2 linked regions of the Kluyveromyces lactis genome follow. The protein of the gene in region 2 purifies or fractionates together with the protein of the main gene of each other region. This does not show direct contact. Links are inferred from orthologs where the notes say so. Each region holds a gene or a part of one and is shown on either strand. Other genes may lie near its edges.

Region 1 (7,933 bases), on a different chromosome or scaffold from region 2:
TCCAAGTAACAATCTATAACCTCTGTTCAATTAGCTGAGCCCCTCTATCATCCATCAAATGCTCTTTCACCGTCGAATACCTACTCTTTCTCTGTTTCCTCCATACTAAATTCCAGATTCCTCAGAGTAACGAATTTAGAATCAGATCGGAAACGTGAAACTTTAAACAAACAACTAACACGTAAACAACACAATTAACAGAAGAGCTGCTCAGAGGTCTTATTAGCACCTAATTTCTGTCGGGGTATTGAATTGGGAAACAAAAGCACTGCTACAATTGTAATTTAGACAGAAATGGCAAGTATTATTCAGGCATCTGCCGCTTTGCGTAAACGGAAGAACTTGAAGAGAGGAATTCAGTTCACGGTGATGGTTGTTGGTCAGTCTGGGTGCGGTAGGTCGACGTTCATTAACACTCTATGTGGACAGAAAGTGGTAGATACTTCTACCACGATTATGTTACCAACGGACACAAATACGCAGATTGATGTGCAATTGAGGGAAGAAATCGTTGAGTTAGAAGACGAAGAAGGTCTTAAGATCCAATTGAATATCATTGATACTCCGGGATTCGGCGACTCTTTGGATAATTCTCCATCGTTTGACATTATCTCTGATTACATTCGTCACCAGTACGATGAAATTTTGTTGGAAGAGAGCCGTGTAAGGAGAAATCCTCGGTTTAAAGATGGTAGGGTGCATTGTTGTTTATATTTGATCAATCCTACTGGACATGGATTGAAAGAGATTGACGTGGAATTCATCAGAAGACTAGGTACTCTAGTGAACGTGATCCCCGTTATCAGTAAAGCAGATTCCTTGACCGCTGAAGAGTTGAAATTGAACAAGAAATTGATCGCAAAGGATATCGACTATTATTCGCTACCTATCTACAACTTCCCATTCGATGAGGAAGACGCGTCAGACGAAGATTATCAAACAAACACATATCTCAGAGGTTTACTGCCCTTCTCTATCATCGGTTCCAACGATGTGTTTGAATCTGCAGACGGGTCCGTGATTCGTGGTAGAAAATATCCATGGGGAACCCTTGACGTCGAGGATGCTAACATCTCTGATTTCGTCGTCCTAAGGAACACTCTACTCATTTCACATTTACACGATATGAAGGAATTTACTCATGAGATCCTATACGAAAGATACAGAACTGAAGCCTTGTCCGGTGAGATGCCAACTGTAGGAACTACGACTCATAACAGAGCTTTCAGCACCACGAACAACGAATACCTAGGATCACCCGCTGTATCTGGTAGAGAATCTGTGAGGGGCAATGGATTACCATCTGCGTTGGGGAACAATGATTCGACTTCTTTACATTCTAACAACGCGTCATCGAACCAGGACACTTACTTGGCAAGAGAAGAACAAATCAAGCTAGAAGAAGAAAGATTAAGGGTTTTCGAAGAAAGAGTGCAACAAGAATTGCAATTGAAGAGACAGGAATTGCTGCAAAGAGAGCAAGAATTAAGAGAAATCGAAGAGAGGCTAGAAAAGGAAGCCCAATTGAAACAGGAAGGAATCAAATTGGAACAATAAGTTGTTGTCCCTTCCTGCACACTAAATAGAACTACATATTTCGTTTCTTTCTTTAACCTATACCTCAGTTATTACCATAAGATAGATAAAGCATTACGAACCATTTCAGGCTACTGGCTGCTAGTCGTGTGCTACACTTTATCGATGCCCTAACGATCAAGCAAAACCTCATTCATTTAAGAAAAAAATTCCCGAACGAAAACCATATAAAAGCCACTTACTTCGAGGCCGAAAATAAGACGAAAAAGACGGTAGAAGGATGGCTTCTGAGCACCAAATGGGTAGTACCAGGGGTACCAGGGATACCAGGTGTACCATGACCTAGTAAATCTCCTTTACATTATCTCACACAGCATGCCAGGAGGCGTGTGCCGTGTTCTGACAAGAAAACATCATGTATGAAGATGTGGGATGGAAAAGCTTTTAGATGATGAGTAACCAGATAGGGACAACAGATATTCGTTTAAGTGACGAGGAAAGTCTTTTAATTGCCCAGTTTTTAGTAGAGCTTGGGCGCACTCTGATTTTAGTTCCACAACTTATACATGATTTAGTGTCAGAAACGGATTAACAAAATTATTTAAAGTTGTGATATGAATATAGTACTATATAAATCGTTATTTGTAGCCGCGGAGTTTTTGCTGGTTCTTCCATGACTTCATTTTGGTATGTGTTGCGAAATGTAGCGCACTGTTAGTCAACTGTTTAGAATCCGTGTCTGAATCAGCTTGTGGCGCATTGAAACTAACTTCTGGGAACACTAGAATGTCTCCGACCAGTTTGGGTACCTTTAAGTTATGGAAATGTTTCCAAGTGATCTTGTCTAAAACACCACTTTGAACGTAATCGTTGAAATAGGTGAATATTACGTCGGTCCAAGCACCAGTTCCGGTCCAGCCCATAATGGTCAGATCGTTTCTTAGGTTCATGTTAAGTTCATCAGCGTATTTTTTTTCCAATGTAGTCTCAGTGACCCTTGCGACCATTTCACGGATCACTGGATGGCCTGGCTTGGCTTGTACGACCCAATTGCCAAATTGCAATCTTCTCAAATAAGAAGATCTCCAATCAGGAGTCTTCGAGTCGTGTTCAATACCAATAATCAACCCGATTTCCTTTGGAGACACGTTCTCTGGGATCCAATTGGGTACTGGTTGCAACAGATCAGTGTCGACATCTGCCCAGACACCACCACGCGCCAGCAAGATGAGGTACTTAAAGAAATCGATCTTTAAGATCGACGTAGGCAAAGAATCATAAGCTTCTATCACTTCAGGAACTGTAGCATAGAAACCATGCACAAACGCCGCAGCAGTATCGTCGTTGACAATCTCGTGAACGAAACCAGGGTTTTTATTAGCCCAGTTCCGTTCGTATTTTTTCAATGTAGGATCCAACCTGTCATCGTCATCGGAATACGGCCAACTTTGCCAAACAAAAGCGGGGAATCTCTGAGTGGTACCGTACTCAAACACAACGGCCAACTTCTCTCTCAAAGTCGCATGTCTGGCAGGTTGCTTCAACGCTTGAATCTTCTTCTCCAAGACTTTCCTCTCTCTATCAAACCTTCTTGCCTGATCGTCCTGTTTCTTTAGCATATCCTGGCTCAATTTCTCAAATTTCTCCATAATTTTACGGTCTGATTGCTCGGAAGAACCCATATTAATCTCCTTAGGTAAATTCTGTAATAGTGTCTGCAAATCTGCAGCAGTCGTACTGTAGTTAAGCATCTTGAAAAGAACCACCACTGCAAACACCAACGGAATTGCAATGGTGGCTATCCTTCTCCAGTTATTTCTCTTGCCCTTGGCCATCTTCACACGGATAGCGCAAGTTATGAACCACTAATCAACACCAGGGCTCCCGCTCGTAGTGATATACCGTTGAGAGTCTAGCTGATGGAGGAATAAGTATGTATTGTTTATCATTGATAATACCATTTCCATAGTTGAAACACTCATTCTTAAAGAAATTCATTACCCGGATATATAATTTACTATACTTTTACTATACCTGGTTTCGATCATGCAAATAACGATGGATCCTCCACTTTGAAGCTCGAGATCATGTCCCGAAGCAACGAATAGGACGCGTGCACCCTTTGAGGTAGCTTTTCCGGTGAGTTTTGCGCAATTGCCTGTTCCATGGCCTTCAGTTCTTGTTCCGATGAGATAGGCACGTGAACAGAAATGATGACGTCGGTATCGAATTGATCCAACCTGAGCAATGCAACACACATTACTACGGTTTCCTTCATCGATTGTTTGCCCCACTTGTATGCGGTCTCAACAACGATACATGTCTGTGATTTGAGTTCCGTTTGCTCTTGATGGTCAATTACTGTCCATTTCTGTGATCCGTTGAGTTCTGAAATTTCTGCCAAATGGATATCTAACGCTTTTCTGTCATTATTCTCTTCCACACGCTGCATTAGGTCTACGATCACACTTTCATCGAACCCGAGCCCATCCTCACTAGGTTCATTCTCACGTCTGCTATTCACGAACACTTCCTGTGTGTCTGGTACTTGCCTTAGCATTGAAGCATCAAGAAACGTCTTGGGAATGACGGTGCTGATGGCACCGCCGTACAATTCTTGTCTGATCCAATGGGACATGGAAAATTAGATATATAGGGTTGTCAGACTGTGGGTAGAGTAAACAATCGCGCTGTCCTTGCCAGTCGAAGTCTCTCCCTCTCTCTTTATCTCTTGAGAAGGACATCTCGTCTTCAAGGTAAGGGAAAATCAAATATCACATTTGACGAACATTCAAATATTATGTGGTGTGCTGGTGTAAATGCATTTATTGTATGCAATGATGGCTTCAAGCATGCCAAATGGGTTTAAATCAAGTGATTACTGTCTCGTATTAATTAATTATTTACGAAACAATTTATATGGGCTCTTGGAACCATACTATCACCTCAAATGCTTCACTTTCTGTCGTATTGTATTCGAACATCTTCCATTCATATCACGTGACTGAAAACTCAACCACTCACGTGACCGAACCCAAAGTGGCAAAAACCGAATTAATAAGGCCAACAACCTATAAACAACTACAAACCAGTTTCCTTAAAACAACAATAGCAACAAGAAGTGAACCGTTCGTTCATTTTGATCACATTGCATCACAAGTTAGTATCAGATATGACGAATATTAAGGTTGATGGCGAAGAAATTGACGAGAGCTTGTACTCTCGTCAATTGTACGTATTAGGTAAAGAAGCGATGTTAAAGATGCAACATTCGAACGTTTTGATCATTGGGTTAAAAGGTTTAGGTGTCGAGATTGCCAAGAACGTTGTCTTGGCCGGTGTTAAGTCTTTAACCCTTTATGATCCAAGCGCTGTCGCTTTACAGGATCTTTCTACGCAGTTTTTCCTGTCAGAACAAGATATTGGGCAAGCTAGAGATAAAGTATCACAGGCAAAATTAGCCGAATTAAACTCATACGTGCCAGTGAAGGTGCTAGAGGGGCTAGAAGACGTGTCACAATTGTCTGAATTCCAAGTAGTTGTTGTGACAGACACGATTTCACTAGAAGAAAAGGTGAAGTTGAATGAGTATACACACTCTCACGGTATCGGTTTCATTTCTACGGAGACCCGTGGGTTATTTGGTAACGTTTTCGTCGATTTAGGTGAAGAATTTACCGTTATTGATACTACTGGTGAAGAGCCAAAGACAGGTATTGTTTCTGATATCGAGTCGGATGGTACAGTGACCATGTTGGACGATAACAGACATGGGTTAGAAGATGGCAATTACGTCAAATTCTCCGAGGTGGAAGGTCTTGAGAAGTTGAATGATGGTACTCCTTACAAGGTCGAGGTGTTGGGTCCGTTCGCATTCAAGATTGGTTCTGTTAAGGATCTTGGTACATACAAGAAAGGTGGTCTGTTCACCGAGGTCAAGATGCCACAGAAATTAACGTTCAAGTCTTTAAGGGAATCTTTGGCAACACCAGAGTTCCTGTACTCGGATTTCGCCAAATTCGAGACTACTGCACAATTACACTTGGGTTTCCAGGCCCTACATCAGTTCCAAGTTAGACATCAAGGTGAATTGCCAAGGCCATTTTATGAAGAAGATTCTAATGAATTAGTTAAACTCGTTATAGATTTAGCTACACAACAACCTGAAGTGCTGGGTTCTGAGGGGAAAGTTGATGAAAAGCTCATCACAGAACTAGCTAACCAAGCAAGAGGTGATATTCCAGGTATCGTTGCTTTCTTCGGTGGTCTGGTTGCTCAAGAAGTGTTAAAGGCCTCCTCCGGTAAGTTCACTCCTATTAAACAGTACATGTATTTCGATTCCATCGAATCTCTACCAGATTCTGAAGATTTCCCAAGAAATGCAGATACCACGAAACCAATCAACTCTCGTTACGATAACCAAATTTCCGTATTCGGTTTGGAATTCCAAAAGAGAATCGCAAATTTGAAGGTATTCCTAGTGGGTTCAGGTGCGATCGGTTGTGAGATGCTCAAGAATTGGGCTTTACTAGGTTTGGCTTCTGGCCCTGAAGGTAAAATTATTGTTACCGACAATGACTCAATTGAAAAGTCGAATTTGAATCGTCAATTCTTGTTCAGACCAAAGGATGTCGGCAGAAATAAATCTGAAGTTGCTGCTGATGCTGTAAGTGCAATGAATCCTGATTTGAAGGGCAAGATCGAGCCAAAGATTGACAAAGTTGGTGCTGAAACAGAGAATATTTTCAACGATGCTTTTTGGAATCAATTAGACTTCGTTACCAACGCATTGGATAATGTGGATGCTCGTACCTATGTCGACCGTCGTTGTGTGTTCTACAAGAAACCTTTACTAGAATCGGGAACATTGGGGACAAAGGGTAATACACAAGTGGTTATCCCTAACCTGACAGAATCTTATTCATCTTCAAGAGACCCTCCTGAAAAGTCAATCCCATTGTGTACATTGCGTTCATTCCCTAATAAGATTGATCACACTATCGCTTGGGCCAAATCCCTATTCCAAGGCTACTTCTCTGACGCAGCTGAAAATGTTAACCTATACTTGACGCAACCAAACTTCGTAGAACAAACTTTGAAACAAGCCCCAGATGCCAAAGGTATCTTAGAATCAATTAGTGATTGTCTAAACAATAGACCTTACAACTTTGAAGATTGTGTCAAATGGGCAAGATTAGAATTTGAAAAGAAGTTTAGTTATGATATCCAACAGTTTCTTTACAACTTCCCTAAGGATGCAACAACATCCACCGGGGAGCCATTCTGGTCTGGTCCAAAGCGTGCCCCTGAACCATTAGTCTTCAATATCGAAAACCCAGATCACTTCCACTTCATCGTTGCATCTGCTAACTTGCGTGCGTTCAATTATGGTCTAAAGGGAGATGATGGTAAACCAGACATTAACTACTATCAATCCGTCCTATCAAAGCTTATAGTTCCTGAATTTATTCCAAAAGCTGACATCAAAATTCAAACCAATGACGATGAACCAGATCCAAACGCGAACAACCAGCTTGGTGGCGATGTCTTAGAAAACTTGGCAGCTTCTTTGCCAGATGCTTCTACCTTAGCTGGTTTCCAACTAATCCCAGTTGAATTTGAAAAGGATGACGATACAAACCATCATATTGAGTTCATTACTGCTGCATCGAACAACCGTGCTCTAAACTACTCTATCGAACCAGCTGATCGTCAAAAGACTAAGTTCATTGCTGGCCGTATCATTCCTGCCATCGCTACAACCACTGCTTTGGTTACAGGATTGGTCAACCTAGAACTATACAAAGTCGTCGCTGGAAAGACAGATATTGAACAATACAAGAACGGGTTTGTGAATTTAGCTCTTCCATTTTTCGGTTTCTCAGAACCAATCGCATCACAAAAGGGTAAATACAATGATAAGACTTTCGATAAAATATGGGATAGATTCGATATTCAAGGTGATATCACATTAAGAGAGTTGATTGATCACTTCAACAAGGAAGAAGGATTGGAAATTACAATGGTCTCCTACGATGTTTCTTTACTATACGCATCATTCTTCCCTCCAAAAAAACTAAAGGATAGAATGGATCTTCCAATAACTGAGGTTGTAAAATTAGTCACGAAGAAGGAAATCCTCAGTCACGTTAAGACCATGATTTTGGAATTCTGTTGTGAAGATAAGGAAGGTGAAGACGTGGAGGTTCCATATGTCACCGTCCATTTGTAATGATTCTAATTTTGTCTGATACCAGATGTAAATTCGTAATTCTATCTCTATGATGCTAGGCTTAATGATATAAACTTACTTAGAAGAAATCATACATGTGAATCAATCGTTATTTAAAATCCTCTGTTAATATCTAGTGCACGAAACTATCCGGTATAGTTCGCC
Region 2 (7,634 bases):
CATCCCAATCATGGAACAATTCATTTACCCATTTATCAGACGTTTCACTCCTTTCAGACCAGTTACCAAGATCTTCATTGGTTTCTGTTTCGGTTCTAGTGCCATGGTTTACGCTGCTGTCTTGCAACACTTTATTTACAAAGCAGGTCCATGTTACGACTTCCCAATGTCCTGTGCACCAGAATACGCAAACACTCCAAACAGAGTCCATATCGGCTGGCAAGTTCCTGCTTATGTCTTAATTTCTCTTTCTGAAATTTTCGCGTCCATTACTGGTTTGGAATACGCTTACTCTAAAGCCCCAGCCACAATGAAAGCCTTCATCATGTCCATCTTTTTGGTCACGAACGCTGTCGGTTCTGCTCTCGGTATCGCCTTGTCCCCAACAGCCGAAAATCCAAAGTACGTCTGGACATTCTCTGGTTTGGCTGTTGCTTGTTTCATTGCTGGTTGTTTGTTCTGGCTATGTTTCCACCACTACAACAAGGATGAAGAAGCCTTGAATGCATTGGATTACAAGACAGAAGAACAAGAACAAATGTTGTCAGGTGTTGGTGTCACCGGAGAAGGTGCTGCTTTATACAGTGTCTCCTCAGTTCGCAGTAGAGTTCAACAGCAACAGAAACAGCAAAATCTAGAGCATCAATTATCTCGCTCAGCTTAATGTTCTTTTATAACTCCTCTTTGGCCTTTGTTAATAAGAGAGAACACTCTCATCGCTGGCAAGGCAGAAGTACAGTCTGACAAATGCATAAAAAACTAATGTCTTGACATAAAGAATAAATCCATGTTTGATCCATTATCAATCATATCACGAACTATTTCGAGATCTTATTATTTTCTTTTTGTCCCTGGTTATATTATATTATTATTATTACTATTGTATTATCATTATCAACCGGTCATTGCACTGTATCTAGTCTATTATCAACGATAAATAGAGAACCTTCATGTAATCAAACACGTAATGAATAGCAATTGAATTGTTAAAAGCTCTATAATATCTCTATCCAGGATAGTTTCCTGCAGTGATACCTCCTAGGGAAATAATTTGTTTTGTATTTTAACGTACTCTCTCTTTGTCTTTTTATCTTGCAGACAGCATACAATAAGGCCTTTACAATTGGAAATTTTTCATGCATTTAAAGCTTTAAAAGAATCTCATCACCAAGACACATGTAAGAAAACATTTGACGAGGAGGTGTTCTATAGTGGTGACTAGTTCAGAACGTGAAAACCTGGTAGCTTTGAATAGACTTCTTGCATAATGGTACTATCTTCCAGTCTTTTCGTTCAAAAAAGAAGTACAACTACTGCTTTGAAGCAACCAAAAGAATTAGGTCATTATTCGAGAACACAGGACAATGGATTTTTAGTCAACGATGATTCGAGGCTAGCATACTATTACTTGCCAGATACGGATCTAGACAAGAAGCTTGATCTTTTAAGTGGAATCAAGAAGTTCAAAGAGTGTAATACGGAAGAATTCGACTCTACAACATTGCATGGATTACTTTCGACTTTGGAAGAGTATGAGAGACGTAAGAGTAAGAAGACGAAGGTGGATATCATTACGTTCAGAGGTATCATACGGAAGCTCATCTCCAGTGCTTTTGATTCATCACAGTTCAATCCGGTAAATTTCCGTATTGTTTCGTTTGATGGACAACTATTCATTAAGGAAGTCAAGACAGACGCTTCGGAAACCTCCATTAACAAGAATAGGGAGTCGTTACAGGCAAGGGCATATTACAGTGGTTACAAATTTGAAGCACTTGCAACCTTATCGCTGCCACTACCGTTGGTACCCAGAACTACATTGGAAAAGAGACCTAAAAAGATTATTAACAATGGGGACCAATTCATCTCAATGGTTAGAACAGGAATAGGTAAATGTAAGATATTGATCGGTGCAGAAGTGGACTGTATTTTTGATTTTAAAGAGGATTCAGATGACAACCTGAAGCATTACGCAGAGTTGAAATGTACCACAATGGTCAATACCGTTTCCGATGCGCATAAATTCGAACGTAAGTTGTTTAAAACCTGGTTACAGTGTTTCCTAGTAGGAATAAACAGAATTATATATGGGTTTAGAGATGACAATTTCATGCTCAAAACTGTAGAGGAGTTCACTACATCTGAGGTACCGCTAATATTGAAGAACAACAACCCACAGATGCAAACTGTGTGTGTAGATGCCATAAAATGGTATGGTGCCTTCACAGAGTGGTTATTGACAAGTATTCCAAGACCAGAAGACGATATTGACACAATTAAAGCCTATAAACTCATCTTTGAGAACAATCACCTAAAACTCACGGAAATTGAGTCTGACGACGAAGAATACAAGCAGCTGGTGGAAGGAGAAGAGATACTATCAAATTCGTTCAAACAATGGAGAAAAGATCTTCGCAAGTAACTTCTTTATACGTGATATATATGTACACAGAGAAACTACTGAAGTAGTTTACTAGAAATTGATATAAGCAATACAAATAGCATCAGTACTATTATTGTCTTGAAGGCAAGTGCCTGTATAAACGAATTTAACGTGTGTGCAAGTGTCTTGGCATATAAATTGGCCATCTGATGAACGCTGGGGTGCGAGTCCAGCTGCGCACAATGCCACCATTCATCACATTTCCCAGCTAAAGCCGGCCGTATTCCCTCACTACATCTATTCTCAACATAAGATCGTTTGCACTGAGAGATTTTCTTCATATCCACCCATTGCTGTTCCAATAACTGCCATTGCACATCTTTATGCACAGTCCAACAGAAATATCCCACTATTACCACAAGTAAACCCTGGAATACCAATTTATTCACTGAGTGCATGAGAAGAGGCTATGACAAGCTCTTAACCCAAGGTCTTAGCACAGGTCTTGGTTCATTTGGTGCTCTATTCAATACACCCGGCCAAGCAATGTGCGTCCCAAGATATTAATCAGTGATTCGAAAGGTTGCTCTTCGGCAATTACTTAAGAAAAAAAAAACCACGTGACTTGTGCTTTCAAATCGGCGAAATCGAATCCTTAAGACCAAATTCACACTGAAAGAAACAAAATGGGACACAGAAACATATGAGAAACAAGATAGAATAGTATAGTTACCCTCTGCCGAAAATTCTCAACTTCCGAATAGCTTAAAACAAGAAAAGCCGTAATTTCAATATCAATTTGGCGAGTTTACTAGAAGTTCAAGAAGGATAAACACGGTCGGATTGGCGTCTTGCTCTGTTGAATATAGACACTTTCGCTGTCTAATCTTTGGGAGAATTAATCAAGGAGGAAATTGAGCCGATAATTGAGTGCTATAGATCATAGTTTTGGTTGATTAATTTATAAACATAAACATAAACATAAAGATGGCTTCCATGTCTTTGATCGCATACCGTGTGAGGAAATCGCCGATTCTTTTCATCGTGGTACCTATATTTGTGCTATTTTGCGTGTTTCAATTAGTTTTTTCCAGTGGGAATAACGTACTAGGATTGAGCGATGATATTATGAACCATCAATGGGCAGATCAGTCCGAGAAGACATTTTATTTCCCATATACAAAGAAGTACAAGATGCCAAAATATTCATACAAGAAAGTTTCCAGTTGGTTGTTCAATGATAAAGTTGACGATTTGATTCCTGAAGGTCACATTGCCCATTACGATTTGAACAAGTTGAAATCTACCAGCAATGCCTTAGTAAACAAGGAAAGAGTATTGATTTTGACTCCAATGCAGACTTTCCATCAACAGTACTGGAATAATTTGTTGAGTTTGACTTACCCAAGAGCATTGATTGAGCTTGGATTTATTATTCCAAGAACTGCGTCTGGAGATGCTGCTTTACAGAAATTAGAATCTGCAGTAAGAGAGGTTCAAACAGGTAAACAGGATAAAAGATTTGCCAAGATAACCATCTTGAGACAAGCGTCTCAGTCTTTCGACAGACTAGGAGAAAAGGATAGACACGCACTAGAAGTACAAAAGGAAAGACGTGCTGCTATGGCATTGGCTAGGAACGAATTGCTGTTCTCTACCATTGGACCGCACACTTCATGGATTCTATGGTTGGATGCAGATATCGTTGAAACTCCAGTCACCGTCATTCAAGACCTAACGAGCCATAACAAACCGGTTCTTGCCGCTAATGTGTATCAAAAATTCTATGACAAAGATCAAAAGAAGGAAAGTATTAGACCTTACGATTTCAATAATTGGGCTGAATCCGAAATCGGTTTGAAATTGGCCCAACAACTTGGAGATAACGAGATTATCGTGGAGGGGTACTCTGAAATTGCGACTTATAGACCATTGATGGCCCATTTCTACGACGCAAACGGTGCCACCAACTCATTAATGGAACTTGACGGTGTCGGAGGTGGATGTACTTTAGTGAAAGCTGAAGTCCACAGAGATGGTGCCATGTTCACTAACTTCCCATTCTACCACTTGATAGAGACAGAAGCATTTGCTAAGATGGCAAAAAGATTGGGATATTCTGTGTTCGGTCTACCTAACTACTTGGTATACCATATTGAAGAATAAGCGCTATGAGTTTTCAGGGAGAACATAGCATCAAACGTACTGCGTAGAACGAATCCTCAATTAAATTAAACGGGAAAAGGTACCGTCTTGATCTTTAATTGGTTTTACTCTTTATGTACTTAGACCTATTATGTAAAATACTATTAATATTTCTGCGTACTATTATTATAAGCGAAATAACACCTTCAATTACCACGTTTAGTTTTGAAACAAAGAGCAGGAGATATAGTGCAATATCTATGGGGACAGATCGCATACGATTATGCAATGAAACGGAATGCAATTGTTTTGTCTTTTCCAACCTTTATAAATGTTAACAGGGAGTTAGATTTCTATTTCTTTCAAGAATGAAGGAATGTATTCAAAGTAGTTTTCCTCTGAAGCGGAAGATACAAATTCCTGAGTATGAGTGGTGTTTTTGATCATCTCTGTGACTTTCTTCAAATCAAGGCCCAAATAATTTCTCATGAAATGACCAATTTCAATATTCTCATGGTTACCACCAAGTTTATCCAAAATCTTAGACTTCAACCCGTCCTTGTTGGAGTATGCATATATATTAACATCGACTGCGCTATGACCATGTGTTGTCCAGCCCAACTGCGCCCTGAAAGAGACCATATCGGTCAATTTGTCCATCAAAAAGCCAGGGGTATCGATCAAGCTCTCAAGCTCTTTGATATCTTCGTCAGTATAATCGTTGATACCTAAACCAGCTTCCACAATTTCATGTTTGATGAACTTAACTAGATTGCCCTTTGAGGTCTCAGAAGTTTGAAGCTTTTTTTGAATCAACTTTCTTGCTAAGTACTCACACGAATGTTGTGCTTTTGCCAAGACTTCAGGTAACCATAAATAATCCGGATATGCTTTAGAAACTTGTCTGGCCGTGACCAAACCACCTGTTTCATGATCTGAAGTTGAAATTATGACGGTTTCTACGTCTGAATTTTTAGCGTATTCAACAACAGCCTTGAACGTCTCATCATATGCAGTGACCTCACGAACCTGTGCAGCAGGATCGTTCAAATGACCTGCATGGTCAATACGAGAACCTTCAACTAACAAGAAAAATCCCTGGTCTGAATCCCTAGTTGCTTTGGACAATGCGTTGATTGCAGTCATAGCTTCTTCTTTCAAGGATGGATATTCCGAATCTAATCTATCAATCTCAAAGGGTATATCGTAGTCAGCTAACAAAGCAAGCAAAGGAAGTTTCACATTATCACCCTCGGATAAGGTATTAAAGGATTCGCGATCTCCAACATAGTGCCAACCGTCTGCTACAGCTTCTTTGATCAAGTCACGACCATCTGTACGAGAACCTCTGATCCCATATGGTGAAGCTGCAGCACCCTTGGGGTAAAAGCTAGTTCTACCACCACCGATCATCAAATCCACCATTCTACCCAATTCATATTCACCCAACTGATGTTGGGCAATTAACTGTTCCATGCTTCTACGATCAGCATGAGCAGAGAACGATGCAGGAGTCGCGTCAGTAATTCTTGTAGTGACCACCAACCCAGTCAAATACCCTTGAAGCTTTGCGGCTTCCAAGAGTGTACCACAAGGTTGTCCATTTGGATCCACACCGATGGCACCGTTGTAAGTCTTCAAACCACATGAAAACGCAGTAGCTCCCGCTGCTGAATCAGTGACTAACGAATTTGAAGATCTTGTTCTTGAAGAACCGACAAAGAATTCATCGAGATTCAACATGTGGTCAAACGTGAGCCCATCAGTAAACTGCTGGAAAGAACGAGTCATGGACAAAGATGCAGGTCCCATACCATCAGAAACGAAAAATATTACGTTCTTCTTCTTTGGGTGCTTGTGACCACCTAAGAACCCTGGGAACAACGTTGATCTTTGATCTTTCAATGTAAAATTATGGGAGAAAGTGGCCAAAACAACTAGAACTAAAACCAATCCAAAAAGAATGTGTCTCGCATACCTTTTTCCCGGCTTGTTACCGGATGGTAACAAATTTGAGCCTTCTGTAATCATTATTATACCAACTATCAAATTATGATTGACCCGATTGGAAAACTCCCTTGAAATGGTTGATAAGATAAACCCAGCGGACTAGAAACCTTAACCAGACCGTTTCAAAACAATCACCACACTTCTAAGTGGCACGACCAATACACCAGCTTACGAACTGTGAAATACAGAGCAGTCTTGTGCTCTTATTTCCCTTATCTTTGTAGATTTCACAGATGAGGGAGGGAGTGTATTATTCTTGGCTTTTTAGATCTATATTTATATATACCACAAATATCACCAACGAAGAGAAACAAAAAGAGATAGGTGGTACCATCACGTGGACCTTAAAACTCGTCGAATCAAGTTGGGATTCTGGGCAAATATCGGTCATATTGATCGAACCTATTTCCGATGCTCTGGAGTACATTATTCATGTAGTATGAGATAATTATATGCTTACTTATGTATTTACAGTTTTATATAAGAAATTTGTCCACGAGACTCATATCATTTTATCTATATGACGGTGGAATGAGTTCCTTATTCTCTTGTAATTGGGTTCGTAGCCATTCTGATGGTTCTTGTAAATCGTTGGGTTGAGCTGTAGTGATTTGGAAGACGTTGAATCTCTTCACGTCAAGATCGATCATCAATTCGGTGAATCGATCGATGAATGATGATACATCAAGACATTGGTCAGTCTTATTAAGAACAACAGCTATCGGTATATCTACCGCAGCGGGAGTATTCACATATCTTGCTTGTAATTCGTTTATTGATTCCTGTAGTCTATCTGAGTCCGATGTATCTACCATATAGACGATGCCATGTATGTTGTCTTTGTTGAAATAAGAATCCCACAAGTAACGGAAACTCTCTTGCCCTGAGACATCTATAATCTTCCAGATATGGTGTGTATCCATCGATACGAATGAAACGTTCTGTCCTATCGTCGGCTGGATCTTGTTCAACGCCTTGGAAGGCTTGGATAAATAAGCTTTTAACGTTTCTATAAATGAGGTTTTACCAGATCCATCGAGTCCCAGAATTAGTATGTCATGCTGTTCTCGTAGATTCCAATGCTTGTATACACTCC

The links. Proteins that work in one complex are often made in the same cells at the same time.
Region 1: the proteins of MNN9 (region 2) and HOC1 purify together in Saccharomyces cerevisiae (affinity purification with western blotting; 6 studies listed by BioGRID, with this or other methods). This does not show direct contact. The link is inferred for Kluyveromyces lactis from reciprocal best matches to the Saccharomyces cerevisiae genes MNN9 and HOC1.

Annotation. Positions count from the first base shown.
Region 1 is NC_006038.1:1,252,431-1,260,363, reverse strand, and holds HOC1 (alpha-1,6-mannosyltransferase), read right to left. Parts: upstream 3,372-7,933; coding exon 2,175-3,371; downstream 1-2,174. Other genes in the region: septin CDC11, read left to right, coding at 295-1,557; Ran GTPase-binding protein MOG1, read right to left, coding at 3,581-4,174; E1 ubiquitin-activating protein UBA1, read left to right, coding at 4,709-7,768; ATP-binding cassette a-factor transporter STE6, read right to left, coding at 7,895-7,933. UniProt on the Saccharomyces cerevisiae protein: The M-Pol II complex possesses alpha-1,6-mannosyltransferase activity and is probably involved in the elongation of the mannan backbone of N-linked glycans on cell wall and periplasmic proteins.
Region 2 is NC_006041.1:1,135,197-1,142,830, reverse strand, and holds MNN9 (mannosyltransferase complex subunit MNN9), read left to right. Parts: upstream 1-3,370; coding exon 3,371-4,549; downstream 4,550-7,634. Other genes in the region: PTR2 (Ptr2p), read left to right, coding at 1-664; RAI1 (decapping nuclease), read left to right, coding at 1,268-2,422; BRR6 (Brr6p), read right to left, coding at 2,458-2,841; alkaline phosphatase PHO8, read right to left, coding at 4,874-6,559; Arf family GTPase ARL3, read right to left, coding at 7,051-7,634. UniProt on the Saccharomyces cerevisiae protein: The M-Pol I and M-Pol II complexes possess alpha-1,6-mannosyltransferase activity and are probably involved in the elongation of the mannan backbone of N-linked glycans on cell wall and periplasmic proteins.